Drosophila melanogaster: one gene and its partners. The protein of the gene in region 1 purifies or fractionates together with the protein of each later gene. This does not show direct contact. Each region holds a gene or a part of one and is shown in the gene's direction. Other genes may lie near its edges. The genes, in order: SmF, RluA-2 and U2A.

The links.
Region 2: the proteins of SmF (region 1) and RluA-2 purify together in Drosophila melanogaster (affinity purification with mass spectrometry, with the first as the bait; one large-scale study listed by BioGRID). This does not show direct contact.
Region 3: the proteins of SmF (region 1) and U2A purify together in Drosophila melanogaster (affinity purification with mass spectrometry, with the first as the bait; one large-scale study listed by BioGRID). This does not show direct contact.

The regions. Positions count from the first base shown.
Region 1 is NT_033778.4:12,183,239-12,186,221, reverse strand, and holds SmF (small ribonucleoprotein particle protein SmF), read left to right. Parts: upstream 1-1,911; 5' UTR 1,912-2,032; coding exon 2,033-2,299; 3' UTR 2,300-2,378; downstream 2,379-2,983. UniProt on the Drosophila melanogaster protein: Plays a role in pre-mRNA splicing as a core component of the spliceosomal U1, U2, U4 and U5 small nuclear ribonucleoproteins (snRNPs), the building blocks of the spliceosome.
Region 2 is NT_033779.5:10,475,250-10,483,165, forward strand, and holds RluA-2 (RluA pseudouridine synthase 2), read left to right. Parts: upstream 1-1,823; 5' UTR 1,824-2,136; coding exon 2,137-2,343; intron 2,344-5,848; coding exon 5,849-6,035; intron 6,036-6,098; coding exon 6,099-6,321; intron 6,322-6,372; coding exon 6,373-6,460; intron 6,461-6,513; coding exon 6,514-6,734; intron 6,735-6,793; coding exon 6,794-6,984; intron 6,985-7,035; coding exon 7,036-7,325; intron 7,326-7,375; coding exon 7,376-7,537; intron 7,538-7,595; coding exon 7,596-7,670; 3' UTR 7,671-7,726; downstream 7,727-7,916.
Region 3 is NT_033778.4:7,674,862-7,678,168, reverse strand, and holds U2A (U2A), read left to right. Parts: upstream 1-1,806; 5' UTR 1,807-1,933; coding exon 1,934-2,731; 3' UTR 2,732-2,807; downstream 2,808-3,307. Other genes in the region: LRR (Leucine-rich repeat), read left to right, coding at 1-171, 435-527; CG12107 (uncharacterized protein), read right to left, coding at 3,079-3,274. UniProt on the Drosophila melanogaster protein: Involved in pre-mRNA splicing as component of the spliceosome. Associated with sn-RNP U2, where it contributes to the binding of stem loop IV of U2 snRNA.

The DNA.
Region 1 (2,983 bases):
CAACGCGAATTACAATTAGTTATGATAGGGAGCATTACAATGAGTGTTTATGATACGCTTATAGTAATTCCCGCCATATCTACACCCAATTAAGCTGCTTGTAAAGCTAAATAGAAAATCTTTTCGGGCAGCAAATATGACACTAAAAATTTGCCAGCAAGGATTTCGTCCTAAGCTTTATTAATTATACATGAGACTACTATTTCTATAGAGCAAATGTCCAAAATATATTTCTTAGAAACCAGTTCTCTATTTATTTTAGTAACAGTAACAGTAACCAAGTAATCTTAATTTTCACAGTTGCCCTCAATTCCATATTAAGTGTGGTTTTTTCAAGGATATCACACTTTTTCAAATTAAAATATACAATTTTGTATACCGAATTTCATAACTTACTTTGAAAATATACAGGTTTTTTTAGTCACACAATTTATTTGCAACTGGCCTAATTCGCAACAAGTTTGTCCAGCAATTTCAAGGAAACTTTTATTGGATCTATAAATTCTGAGCACCCGCGTACACAACCGACAATTAAAGCTCTACGCACCGCACTTGGGGCGATTTGAAATGTTGTTTGCGTTTTTATACTCGAAAGTCTCAAAAGTTCTGAGATAGCAATTTCAAGTGCATACTTATAAATTCACCTGTGTGGTGGAAAAAGCTTTAAAATACGACAAACAAACCACAGCAAATCCAGAGGGACTCTAAGATAATTACAAGTCATGATTACATTTATTATAATGATTCTTAGTTTTAACAACCTTATTTACTTTTTGTGTGCTATGGTTTAGTTAGATTTTTAAAAGCGTTAACGCAATACATATACGATATGAAAAGTATTGCACGCTATAATCTATAAATAATTAAACACAACCGGCTTTCTCGTCAAGCTTTTGATGCATTTGTGAATTTCATTATTGTTGCGTTTGCTGCTTTATAGAAACAATTGCAAAATGCCTGGGCGAAATGACGGGATCAAATAAATCTATCAGATAGCTGCGTTCATAGCCAAGTTCCTTGAGGTAGAGCAGGCGATCCAGGAGAATTAGACTCTCCAGCACCGGAGCAAAGGACATGCGCAGCAGATAGAACAGATCCAAGAAGTATTTATGCACGGCATATTCCTGGAGCAGGGATTGAAGTTCTTCTTTCTCAACAGCTGCCAACCAGGGAGCATCCAATTTGGTGGCACACTTTTGAATGTACTCCTCGAAACTCTCGAATTTCCGTACCTTGCCCACCTGCAGTTCGTTTTTCAGCTCCGGCGCATGGCGGCAAACCAGAATCTCCAAGAGAGCTCGATAGTAGAGCGTTACATTAGGCAGCTCCTTGGTGTCCAAGGTGCGTTCAATTGACTGGGCCGCCAGCATCCGCGCATTGCGACCCATTCGCACTTGTCGCTCCCGCAGGTACTGACTCAATGGGAATCCATAGTCTGTTTGCAGCTCCATCAGGGACTTATTGCCAAAGAACTCCTGCTGCGAATAGCGCTCCCGCAGCAAATGATAGCAGCAGCCAACATTACAAAGCAACCGGCAGTCCGTTTGGGCGTGGAAAACCTGAAGACAGGTGGCGGCCAGGTTGCCACAGGTATGCAATCCAGTAAGGCAAATGTTTGGACTGTCTTCCGGTCTAAACTGAGTGAAATTCTCCGCCAGCAGGGCACCAAAGTTAAGTTCGGTGGTTATAAACTTTGCCGTTGTCTTGTAGTTTTCCAAGGCAGGCGCACTCTTGGTGCTCTCCCTGGCTGGCGACTTTTTACCACGTCTCTTGGGCGTGATTCCCTGGACTTGCAGCTCCGCTCGTTCCGTAAGGCCATTCCAAGCGCGCTGAAATTAAATAAAATTTTAATTTTGGCGCTTTTGAATGGTTTTTCAATACTCTTCTTCTATGCTATTCTTCTTCTTGTTCTGGTATGTTTACACAGCGCAGCTGTGGTCACACTACACAAAAAAAACGCGAAAAGCCGGCGATTTTCGGCACGCTTGTTGTAATATTTTATAAAAAAGGCAGGAAAAATCAAATAAACAGAATGTCGGCTGGTATGCCCATTAACCCCAAGCCCTTCCTGAACGGCCTGACGGGAAAACCGGTGCTGGTGAAGCTGAAGTGGGGCCAGGAGTACAAGGGCTTCCTGGTCTCCGTCGACGGCTACATGAACATGCAGCTGGCGAACACGGAGGAAGTGATCGAGGGCTCCGTGACTGGTAATCTTGGCGAGGTGCTCATCCGCTGCAACAACGTGCTGTATATCAAGGGCATGGAGGACGACGACGAGGAGGGCGAAATGCGCGACTAGCCAATGGATTCACCTACATACACCCACACCTTACTTCTAAGTCTACAAACGTAATGAAATAAAGCTAACTTTATTTTGTAAGCCCGGCCTACCTGCAATTTGCGATTCCTATTCAATGCGTTCTCGGTGTTTGCCGCGTTCGCATCGATGCCGAGCACGCGGTGACCATACTGGAGCGCCAAGCGCGAGGATAAATACCCTTTGCCATCGCCCGCGTCTACAATGAAGCAATCTTGACCGGAGTTCTTCACAAGCTGGTCCACGAGAACGGCTGTTAGATCCACCTAATCGGAGAGATTAATCAATTCCTAAAATACTCTCATTTAAAATGGTTGGTTTACTTACCTCATGGCACTTTTTGGCGCTCATAAACTCCCGAATGCTTAGCTGCGTGGAGTTCCCCTGACCCTCTGAAGCGACAGGCGTTCTTGTTTGCTCTTGCCTAGGAATTCTCGCCATGCCGGAAACCTTTCTGATTCATCAGTTTTCCAAAATAGGTCTTCTATGGCCAGAGCCACATCTTCCTTGCCGGCGATCTCACTTTTCAGCGTTTCGGATAAAAAGCCGTCCCAGTGCTGGTCCGTCAAGTAGTTCACCATGTGGCAATTGACAAAATCCCAGTGCGGATTGAGGAAGGCCAGTAAGCCATCCAGACGCCTCTGCAACTGCACAACTCCCACCTTG
Region 2 (7,916 bases), on another chromosome or scaffold:
GTAAGTTGCTCTTGAATTTTTCTATCAACTCACTGATGTGCAAAGCCACAGGGACCATTTGACACAATTCCCCTAAACAAATGGTAAGTGTCCTCTGGCACACCCACAATTACTCGTATAAAATCCACTTTTTCGGAATGCTCGAAGCAATTTCATATTCAAAATCATACTTCTGGTGTTGCAGCCACAACCTTCTAATATCAGTTACGACTTGCACCAAATAATCATTCGAAAGAATTCCTCAAAAATTACATACCAACATGAATGTACATATATTCTGAAAACAATGCGTTTGCCTTTTCCGATTGACACAGTGAAAATGAACAAAAGAATGTTGAGGCTGATGATGAGCGAAACAAAAGTATAAAAGATCTGATTCACCAAAAGTGAAATTCGTAACGTAGATCTTGTGGAAGTGAAGAAATTCTTATTATAATCTAAAAAAACATAATTTTTGTTTCAGTATCTAAGCAACTTTATCCTTGTAAGTTTGGTTCCATGTTTTTGAGCGCCAAAAAGTAGGCAACAAATTAAGCTAAATCAAGCGAGCTCGTGTTGATCCTTAGATAAGCAAGGACTATTGAAACAACTCAAAGATAGTTGGATTAGTTTTAATAATTTTTTCCAATTAGCAACTAACCAAAATACAGAAGGCATTATGTTTGATCAAATTTGGGCTAAGGCTCCGCGAATTGCGTGTTTGACTGCGTGACTTTTGTTTTCCGAAACTCACCCACTTTCGCACGGGCCATTCCATTCAGATCCCGACGCCATGGTCTACGGGTATATGGAGTGGAGTGGAGTGGAGGTCTCCTTGAAACGCGGTTGGTCACGAAAGCGAACAACAAAGAAAAGGCTTGCCCGTCATTTGAGGCAACATTTAATGGCCACTGGCTATGGGGCTATATGGCTATATGGCTAAAAAGCTATAGGGCTCATCCTGAATAAACAGGGGTTGGTGTGTGTGGGTGTGTGCGACTAGGTGTGTGTGTGTGTGTGTTGGTGTGCGAGAAGTTGACGTTCGTTTGTGAAAACGAAGAAAGTGATTAAATCAGCACGATATTTTGTAGGTGTGCGCTAGCTCACCCATTAAATTTCTCCCATCCGCATTCGTGTATGTGTGTGTGTGAGCCCGCACACACACCTACACATTTGAGCTACTGTTCTAAATTGACTTTTCGCCTGGACAAAACTAAAAATGACGACATCGCGTTTTTTTTCGCTTTCATAGAAAAGCTTTGCCTCTAAACATGCCCATCATGCGCGTGTTTATAAACAACACAGATCTCTTACCAACCTGTATATAACATTTATATGTATATATATATAGAAAGGTGTGCTGGGCCTCCGATTACACTCCCACATGCATGTTCGCACACATGTATGCAGTTACCAAATATGGGAACACACGTTAATGTAATTAAGCCTTAAGGCTGGATAAATGCCAACTCGAGTCGTATATTATTTGCGATATTGCAGGCAGTTATAAATTAACTTCTTTATGACTGCTGCTAATTTGGATTTTCAATTCGAGTGCTTGTTATTTTGGGTGTTATTTTAAAAGAACTTAAACAGCTTGAAGATAAGGTTTCAAAAACGTTAAGCCATTATCATTATCCCAGGACTGCCTCATTTTTGGTGGAAGCGATTTCTTACATTTTGTTACAATTTAAATCTGTATTGGTTTTTCACGCAATATCTTTAGTTTAACGAATATCATATATCCTATCTTGAACTTCAGCATTTCGAAAACGGTTTCGAGTGGCTTTGAAAAACCAGTAAGTTCCGTGCAAATACCCCTAATGAAGTTCAATCGGCGCGAATCAGTGGTTCGCGCGCTTATCGATAGGCAATGTTTTGGTTTTGCTTGCTTTCGGCATAAAAACGTAATTTTCATGCGGTTTTTGCGGCAATTTAGGGACGTTTTTCGTTTGGCAAGTGGTGTTTGTGTTATGAATTAAAGTAACATTTAACTCATTCAATTGAATCATCGCATAAAGCAGAGTGTTTTTGTGTTTGAAACTGAAATCTGCGCACGTGTTGACTAACTTGTTGTTATTATTATAGCGTTGCTTAGATATTCTAGTAAATTGGCCGCAAATCAAAAACTATAAACAATTCTCGTGGCTGTTGAAAATGGAGAGTTCCAAACTCTTGAGAAATGCACAAACCCAGCATGGAGATGCCTCATCCGTGGACGTGGAAAACATATTCCTGCACCGCCATATGCTATACACAAATCCCACTTCGGATGGCAATCTCCATGATCGGGAAGATTCCCCCGAATGCGTGTGGTGTCCAGACGACAAGGATGGTAGTCCAGCTGAAAGCAAAGATCCACCGGTGAGTAGTGATAAGATAAGACATTCTATTAAGTACATAGATCCGGTTACTATTATATATCAAGATATCATACAATATATAATTACATATGATCCGCATTGTTTGCTGAGTATACCTTGTGTATTTATAAAAAAGAAAACTAAATTTTTAAAATTATATACTGTATAGTTATAATTTTTTAACATTACAGAAATGTTAGAAATATATTGTATATTCAGGAATATATTTATGTGTAAAATCCAGCTGAACTTGATTAAATGCCGTTTTGTTCATGCACTTGAATGCATATTTGTTTACCCTGGCGTGTCGCCCTCCATTATTAATTCCCATTTATTTACCCGCTTTATAGCGAGGAATCCGCGGCTGGCGACCACTTCTCCAACTTTGACCGATTCGCAGCTAGTAAAAGAGCATATTTATCTTGGGGGAATCGAATGCCCAAAACAATTTAGTCCGGTCTGCTCGCAAATTGTGTGGATTCGGATTCCTGTCCTCACTTATGCAGTATTATTGGTGTCGAGGGAAATTTCAATGCAGCAGCTCCAATCGCACACTTAAAACTTAATTAAAAAGCTAATCAGGGAGTAGCAAATGCAATTTGCTGCATTAATTTAAACAATTAATTAGGTACAATTTCAATTGTTGTAATGCTCTTCATATCTAAGCTCATTCATACTGTAGTAGTTTAATTCTAAATTGACGTAATAAACTAGAGGCAAATTAGGTTTTTGATTGAAGCTTAAAGTGTTGTTTTGTATTTATTCTTCAGAAAAAGTTTCGAAGTAAGTTGCAAACTAATTAATAACAATAATGAAAGAAAGCTCAAACAGCATTGCGTGACACCCACACATGTGAGTGAAAGAAATGGGTTTATTTCAGTTTTATTCTATTACCTTAAAGTTTCGAGAGTCATAAAATTGTATATAAACATGCGGTGGAGCCAGGAGGAGTAGCTGCACCCTGGTACCTGGAGATTTAAGCCATTTTTACGAGACTTTGAGTCACAAATGCCCCAATAAACGAGACTGCAGTCAGTGCCTGCAGTGGAAGAGTCAACGTTCTGGCCGCCATAGAAATTTAAAGCCACCCCTAGGCGTCAGTAGATTCTTAAAAATTTAGGGCTTTGCTAAGATGTGCAACAAAAACCAGATTTTAGACAAAACCCTTAATGGCCCACAAAAACCGGTACAGGCATGCTAGTTTCGTGGCTTTTTGTTTGCTGGTTCCTCCACCTCAACGTACGTGACAGTGTCAAATGGCCTTAAATATTTAGCCAGAGTGTACACTTAAAGCGCCAGACCCATTCCTAATTCTCTCTCGCTAATTAAACTAATCAATAAACTAAAAACCGGAGTGTATACAAACGCATATACATTATATACATGTATATATATGTATATAGGGAAATAGCTCGAGGTTGTCGTCTGCAAGGAGTTAAGTTATGTGTGGGGACCAACTGGACGCACGAATGGACGGACACGTTTCACTTGCCTTCGTAGATATTTTACCACGGATTTGTCATAATTAGTTCTTTTTTGGGTGGGGTTTCAGTGGGTTTCTAGTGTCCCGGCATCTCGCGCGGTGGCTGCCTAACGAGCTACTTTTGTCAAGTTGGTCTGTTGGTCGTGATGTTTCCGCAATTATTAGTGTCAGTGCCTCGTGCTTACGGGCGGGTGGGTATCCTAAGTGCGGTCCTCATTGTTTCCGCGATGCGCCTTTTGGGCCAGTCGTTTTTATAATTCTTACAATACCATGTAAACACGCATTACGAAAACCGCCGCGGATGGCGGTTACTGGTTTGCAGGAAGAGGAAAATCCCTCTAAGACTTGGTCGCCTGCACTCCTTTTCCATTTTCCATTCCACTGACACTGGCTTGCGCCATCAAACTGAGGAATTAAAAGGGAAGATAGGCTGCCTGTGGACTAAGTGGCTTTGCGGATCAGGCACACTTTGCGCAATTAACTAAATAAATAAATGTATAGAAAAGTGGTTGTTAAGAAAACATAAGCCTTGTCATTCGAACATATCAAATATTCCCAAATCTTGCCACTTTAAAAACTCTTGTTGGGCTTTTTGCACAGACACAATACCTATTTTTTTTAATAAGGTTTGATTGCATCCCCTCTGTTAATTATAATTAACAGGTAATATTAATGATTTTAACTTTCTTTTTGTGGCATAATAATGGTGGCATATTGACTTGGAACAATCAAAAGCATTATTTATGTTGACTTTAATAGCCAAGGACAAACAAAAAATTATGAAATAAATAAAAATAACAATTGCATTAATATGTAAAATCTGTGTAGTATATATATTAATTAAGACCATAAAGGGAACAAAACCCATAGAGATGGCACTTTCGAATGTGTTGAGATATCTGCGAGGCGCCAAATTGAATTGATCTGGCAACGCTAAGTTGAATTTGTTATCAATGTAGGTTAATGTGAAGAAAAAGAAAAATCGTGGGTTTGTTTACAAAAAAGCGCGATAAAAATAGAATGCGAATTGGCGGCAAGTGAGGGGAGCCGCCGATGATATCCAATTTGTATGATAATTATGCGCACAGGTGTGGACGGATTGGAAATGTGCCATCAAGAGCATGTGGAAACAGAAACATGAGCCAATGAAGGCGACGGAAGAAGAGCATGTCATTATCCTCCAGTTGGATAAGTTCCAAGATGCTGATCCGGATGAAATCAGGGTGTATCAAGAAGCAGTACCCAAGGGAGTTAGCTCCTCTAGTCTTAAAAACACCGCCTAACAATATAAAAACCTTATCGAAACCCATTGTTAGCTGATAACAGCTTTAGAATAATCTCTGCAGGATCAGAGGTCACTGCAATTCTTAAGGTAATTGCAATTCTTAAGGTAATTGCTGTAGAGCTTCGTGAAACTACGAGGACCGACGCAGAATCAATGATGTCTATGGCACTTGAGATGTGGAGAAGGGAGGGCAGCACAAAAATGATAAAAAATGTTTGTATTTTATAGTTTTAAACTTTGCATAACCCTTAAACAACTCAAGAGACCTGTTTTATTATGGACTTTTGTCTATGTTTGCTTCCTGGCTAGAACATATTGGCTGGTAGACCAGTAACCAACAAAATACTACTGGTTCGCAGCCAATTTTGTAGTTTTTGTTTTCCTTTTAGTGTGCAACAAGGAAAAAACAAACAGTCTGTCTGAAAATTATGCTTGGGCTGCAGAATGAAAACGAGGAATTGTTTGCACACAAACACCGGAAACAAGGCTCCAATGTGTTAAGAGCTGATAAGCTGATAAGGATACATATATGATGACTTTGGCACGGTAGGCTTTCGTATTTTCTGTATCTTCAAGAGTGAAGTTCCTCAAATCTAAACGAATTTTCTAAATAGTAAGCAATTGTTCAGTTTAAAGCAAGAACTAAAGGTGTTTTTGCTCAAAAATAAAAAGAAGACATTCAATGAAGCTGAAAATATTTTAAAAAACTATTACCACCCGTCGTGGTTTATCTTACAGATATCCATATCAGAGGAAAAGTCTGAAACGCAATCAAAAGAAGTTTTGTCGGAAAAGCGAAAAGCTAGCAGCACAGATGACGAAGGGCATGTGAAAAAAGTAAAATTAGAGGCCAATAGTCTAAAAACGAAGCGTCCTGGATTCAGCGATGAAAGATACGACGAAACATCGTATTATTTTGAGAATGGTATGGCCAACATATTAATAAACCAACTTAGAAGATATTCTGTTATAAAATTGCAATCTATAGGTCTGCGGAAGGTGTATCCTTATTTTTTCACATTCACCACGTTCGCCAAAGGACGTTGGGTTGATGAGAAAATTCTGGATGTATTTGTCCGCGAATTTCGAGCCGCACCGCCGGAGGAATATGAACGCAGCCTGGAAGCGGGAAAATTGACTGTTAACTCTGAGAAAGTGCCCAAGGACTATAAAATCAAGCACAATGATCTGCTGGCCAATGTGGTGCATAGGTAAGCATCAGCAGGAAATCTCATTTGAATATGCACACATTTGCATTCTAGACACGAAGTCCCTGTTACTTCACAGCCCATCAAGATTGTGTACATGGACAAGGATATTGTGGTTGTGAATAAGCCGGCATCGATACCGGTAGGTATACTAATTTGGAAGGAATTTGATTTAATAACAATCGTATGTTGTAGGTACATCCTTGTGGAAGATATAGACACAACACGGTAGTTTTCATCCTGGCCAAGGAGCACAATCTGAAGAACCTGCGAACCATTCACAGATTGGATCGTCTCACATCTGGCCTACTTTTGTTTGGACGGACTGCTGAAAAAGCCCGCGAATTGGAGCTGCAAATCCGAACTCGCCAAGTGCAAAAGGAATACGTTTGCCGCGTTGAAGGACGCTTTCCAGAGTAAGTCCAAAATGCATCTAATCTTTTATATATCTGCTTATTTTTCATATCTTTCGTAGTGGCATAGTTGAATGCAATGAGAAAATCGACGTCGTGAGCTACAAAATAGGTGTTTGTAAGGTTTCACCGAAGGGCAAGGACTGTAAGACCACATTTAAAAGAATCGGCGAGGTGGGCAGTGATAGTATTGTTTTGTGCAAACCACTAACAGGACGAATGCACCAAATACGAGTGCATTTACAATTCTTGGGTAAGTGACAACCAGATAATTCCATTCAATTATAACACTCGTATTTCACAGGCTATCCCATTTCAAATGATCCTTTGTACAACCATGAAGTTTTCGGTCCATTGAAAGGAAGAGGAGGAGATATCGGTGGAATAACCGAGGAACAGTTGATCAGTAACCTAATTAGCATTCATAATGCAGAAAACTGGTTGGGCTTGGAAGGAGATCAAATCGTATCAGGGGAAATAAAAGACGTAGCAGCAAGTACTTCAGTAGTAGAGGCTCCCTCAGTAGTTCAGGCTCCTATTAATAGTGAAACTGAAAAGCCTGTGATTTCAAAAAACCTTGAACCAAGTAACGATGTAAGTAACTTAAAATAGTTGTACAAGTCTGGAGAACACAATGCTTATAGGCTACTGCACAGATTGCCACCCAAACGTGCTATGAGGAACCAGACAGGTCCTTTGATTCCAAGAAGACAACTTCGGATCCGCAATGTTCTGAATGCAAGATAAACTACAGAGACCCCGGCACAAAGGATCTCATAATGTACTTGCATGCATGGAAATACAAGGTCAGTTTCAAACTATACATTTTTAAAGATTTAATTTCAAATTAAATCTTATTTTCAGGGCGTTGGTTGGGAGTACGAAACCGAATTGCCGGAATGGGCGTGTAATTCGAATATTGATTACGATAAAGTATAAAGGAAAAATTGATTGCAAACACGACGCTTTAGTAAAAAGAAATATTTTTACAGAGTTTAACAAATTGTGTTTCCATTTTATCTTCATTTGTAGCATTGTTTTATTACTTTGCCGAATTACTTTATCATTTTGCGGTGCAAGGGGATGTCCTCGTGGAGTATTATTTATCGTCGTGCAGTGGATGTCCTAGGATGCCAACTATCCTGGATAATACTTTGCAAGAACTTCACCTGAACACTCTGCTCA
Region 3 (3,307 bases), 4.5 Mb from region 1:
AGCAGTTCATCCAGCAGCTACGAGAAGCAGCATGCCAAGGCCTGTGCCAATTTAATCAGCAACGAAATCCTCAGTATGCGCAACGGACAGTTGGGCGCCAAGTCTGGAAGCTGCGCAGAAAGTGGTGGTGTGAAGCGGATAGCCGGCAAGGAGATCTCCACGCTATTCGAGGTTTGATCTCCGAGGCCGGAGCTGCAATGCGATAACTTTTATTCATCAGCGATCAAAATTGGCTGGCTACTTCGCTTGGTTGATTTCGGTGCTCATCCTGTGCGTCTAACATTCGCATTTGCTGCATAGTGTGTATTCCTTAAGTTGTGTCGTATTAGCCAGTATGCCGCATTTTGCCTGTAATTTCATCTAGTTTGTGTTTGCCTGTTTAGCTCCTATTTAATCGAGCCGTCTAATAGAATCACTCTTCCACTTACCCACAGGAGACATTAGTTGAAGAACTGCAGCAGAGCATGGCGACCAGACGCGGTTTTAGAGACTCGACCTACACCAAGGAGGATGTCGTTGATTTATAAGTGTTCTAGTTATATGCTCAACATTCCCTCACGTCGATCCCTAGTCCTTCACCCAACCTGCCACAGTTTCACGTGATAGATAGTAGGGTTGATGATAACGTTAAGTGATGATACTGATGATAAGGAGGAAATGAGATGAAATGGTGAAGACAGAAGGATAGAGGGAAACAAGGTTGCAACTTATCGTACTGAACCATTAATTTATGTGCAATGCCGCGTGTGTGTTGTTTTCATTTGGCAATTTAGAATGAACGTGATTTATTTATTGATACAAACCCTGATACTTTTATCCAAATTAACCTTTGCATATTTTTAAAAATGTTTTGTGTACTATATTTTATATTTTTATGTATTTAAATCAGTTAAGTGCCAATTATATACAGAATTAATCTACAAATATTTTTAGCGTGTGCTCTACATCAATTTCAATGAAACTAACGAAAATAACGCAATGAATATGATACACTATACATATTATGTAATTCGATTGAGTGTATAAGAACTATTTTAATGGGCTAAACCTAAAAAAATCTAAATGAAATATAATATTTTTTATAACTGCTTCCAAATACAAACTTTATGGTTTATTATTTCCCCTTTTCTGTTTACCTCCCCTATACACATACTTATAGTATTTATAGTATTTAAGCGACAATCCGTTTTCAAATTTTGAGGCGCGTTATGCCGCCAGAAACAAATGCATTTATTTAGAAACAAGGCGGAGACCGACGATCTTATTGATTATTTTCTAAATAGTTAACAATTTAAGAAACTAGGCGAAAACGAAACCGATATAAAATTACTAAGCCATTTAACAACAGAAAACCGAAATCTATAGAAAACTAATTACCCTTATCGCAAAACGATCAACTTCAATTTTGATGATCTAGTAGTTTGCACCAACGACACAGAATATATTCAGAGCAGCGTTTAAACTTTAAACCAGTCCACCACCGACCACACACTTCGAGTTTTGAGTGTATCCCGTTCTCATTCAAAACCCCGAAACGAAATAAGAGAAACTTAACGTGTTCATTAAAGTTAAGCAATTAAAACATCATTGTAATCTATTGAAATTCAAATTAAACGGAAACGATATTGGACAGTAGTGTTATTTATTTATTTTTGAATTTCGAAAGATCAGGGGCCCTATTGGCAGCATTGGAGTAATCCCAGTATTATTACGATATTTAGAATGGTAGAAGCCCAGCAGACCGATAAAATACCAAAACATTGTTACCACTAGATCTATCGATAGCGATGCCGGCATTGCTTGCTATCGGAAAACTGTTCATCACCAACTCGCGTCGGCAGCGAATTGTTTTTCTGCATTTCGGAAAATAAGCTTCAAAAGAGTATAAAAAGACCGAGTAAAGACCAAACGTAAGCATACTATAACTGCCAAGATGGTGAAACTAACGCCGGAGCTGATAAACCAGTCGATGCAATACATAAACCCATGCCGGGAGCGCGAGCTGGATTTGCGCGGCTATAAGATTCCACAAATCGAGAACCTGGGCGCAACTCTGGACCAGTTTGATACCATCGACTTGTCCGACAACGATCTGCGCAAGCTGGACAACCTGCCGCATCTGCCGCGCCTCAAGTGCCTGCTGCTGAACAACAACCGCATCCTGCGCATCAGCGAAGGGCTGGAGGAGGCGGTGCCCAACCTGGGCTCCATCATTCTCACCGGCAACAACCTGCAGGAGCTGAGCGACTTAGAGCCCCTGGTCGGATTCACCAAGCTGGAAACCATCTGCCTGCTTATCAACCCGGTATCCACGAAGCCCAACTACCGCGAGTACATGGCCTACAAGTTCCCGCAGCTGCGGCTACTCGACTTCAGGAAGATCAAGCAGAAGGACCGCCAGGCGGCGCAGGAGTTCTTCCGCACCAAGCAGGGCAAGGACGTGCTAAAGGAGATTAGCCGGAAGTCCAAGATGAGCGCCGCAGCCGCCATAGCTGCAGAGGCGGGGAATGGCAAGGGAAGGGGATCGGAAGGCGGACGACTGGCCAATCCGCAGGACATGCAGCGCATCCGCGAGGCCATCAAGCGGGCCAGCTCTCTGGCAGAGGTGGAGCGTCTATCGCAGATCCTGCAAAGCGGCCAGCTGCCGGATAAGTTTCAGCACGAGATGGAGGCGGTGGCACAGAACGGGGCGGGGCACAACGGTTCGGGGGCCGTGGCCATGGAATACTAGGACTAGAATTATCCGCTCATCTGTCAGCTACCTTATAACCGTAGACCAATATTTTTTAATAAAACACCAAAAGTTGATTCATCGCATTCTGCATTTCGGACACTCAAAAACATATAGAATCTTCTGTTTTCAACTAAGACCGCTGGCCGAAGGATCTTTCACGGAAAGATTCGGGACAATCGGTCACAACAGAAATGCATTTACATGACCGTAATTGGCTAAAAGTTTAACAATCTACAGCGAGTACAAAGGGGACACAAAACGAGAGGAGCTGCTGGCTTATGTGGAGAGTGGAGTGGTGTGGTGTGGACCTGGCTCCTGGAATCCGGTATTGCTGGGGAGTGTTATTAAGATCCTTTCGCCGCCATTATGGCGTCGTAGTGCAGGCCAGTGTAGAAGATGATCCACGTGACCAGGAATCCGGCAAACGACGTCATGAACCCCTCCTTGATCAGCTCCCATACCCCTCCGTAGGCGTCCTCGTCCACGTTCTGAAAGTTTATGGCGTACAGGTAGACGATCCCGCAGCTGATGCCGGCGAATCTGGGGGCGCATTGGATTGATTAAGTGAAGTGA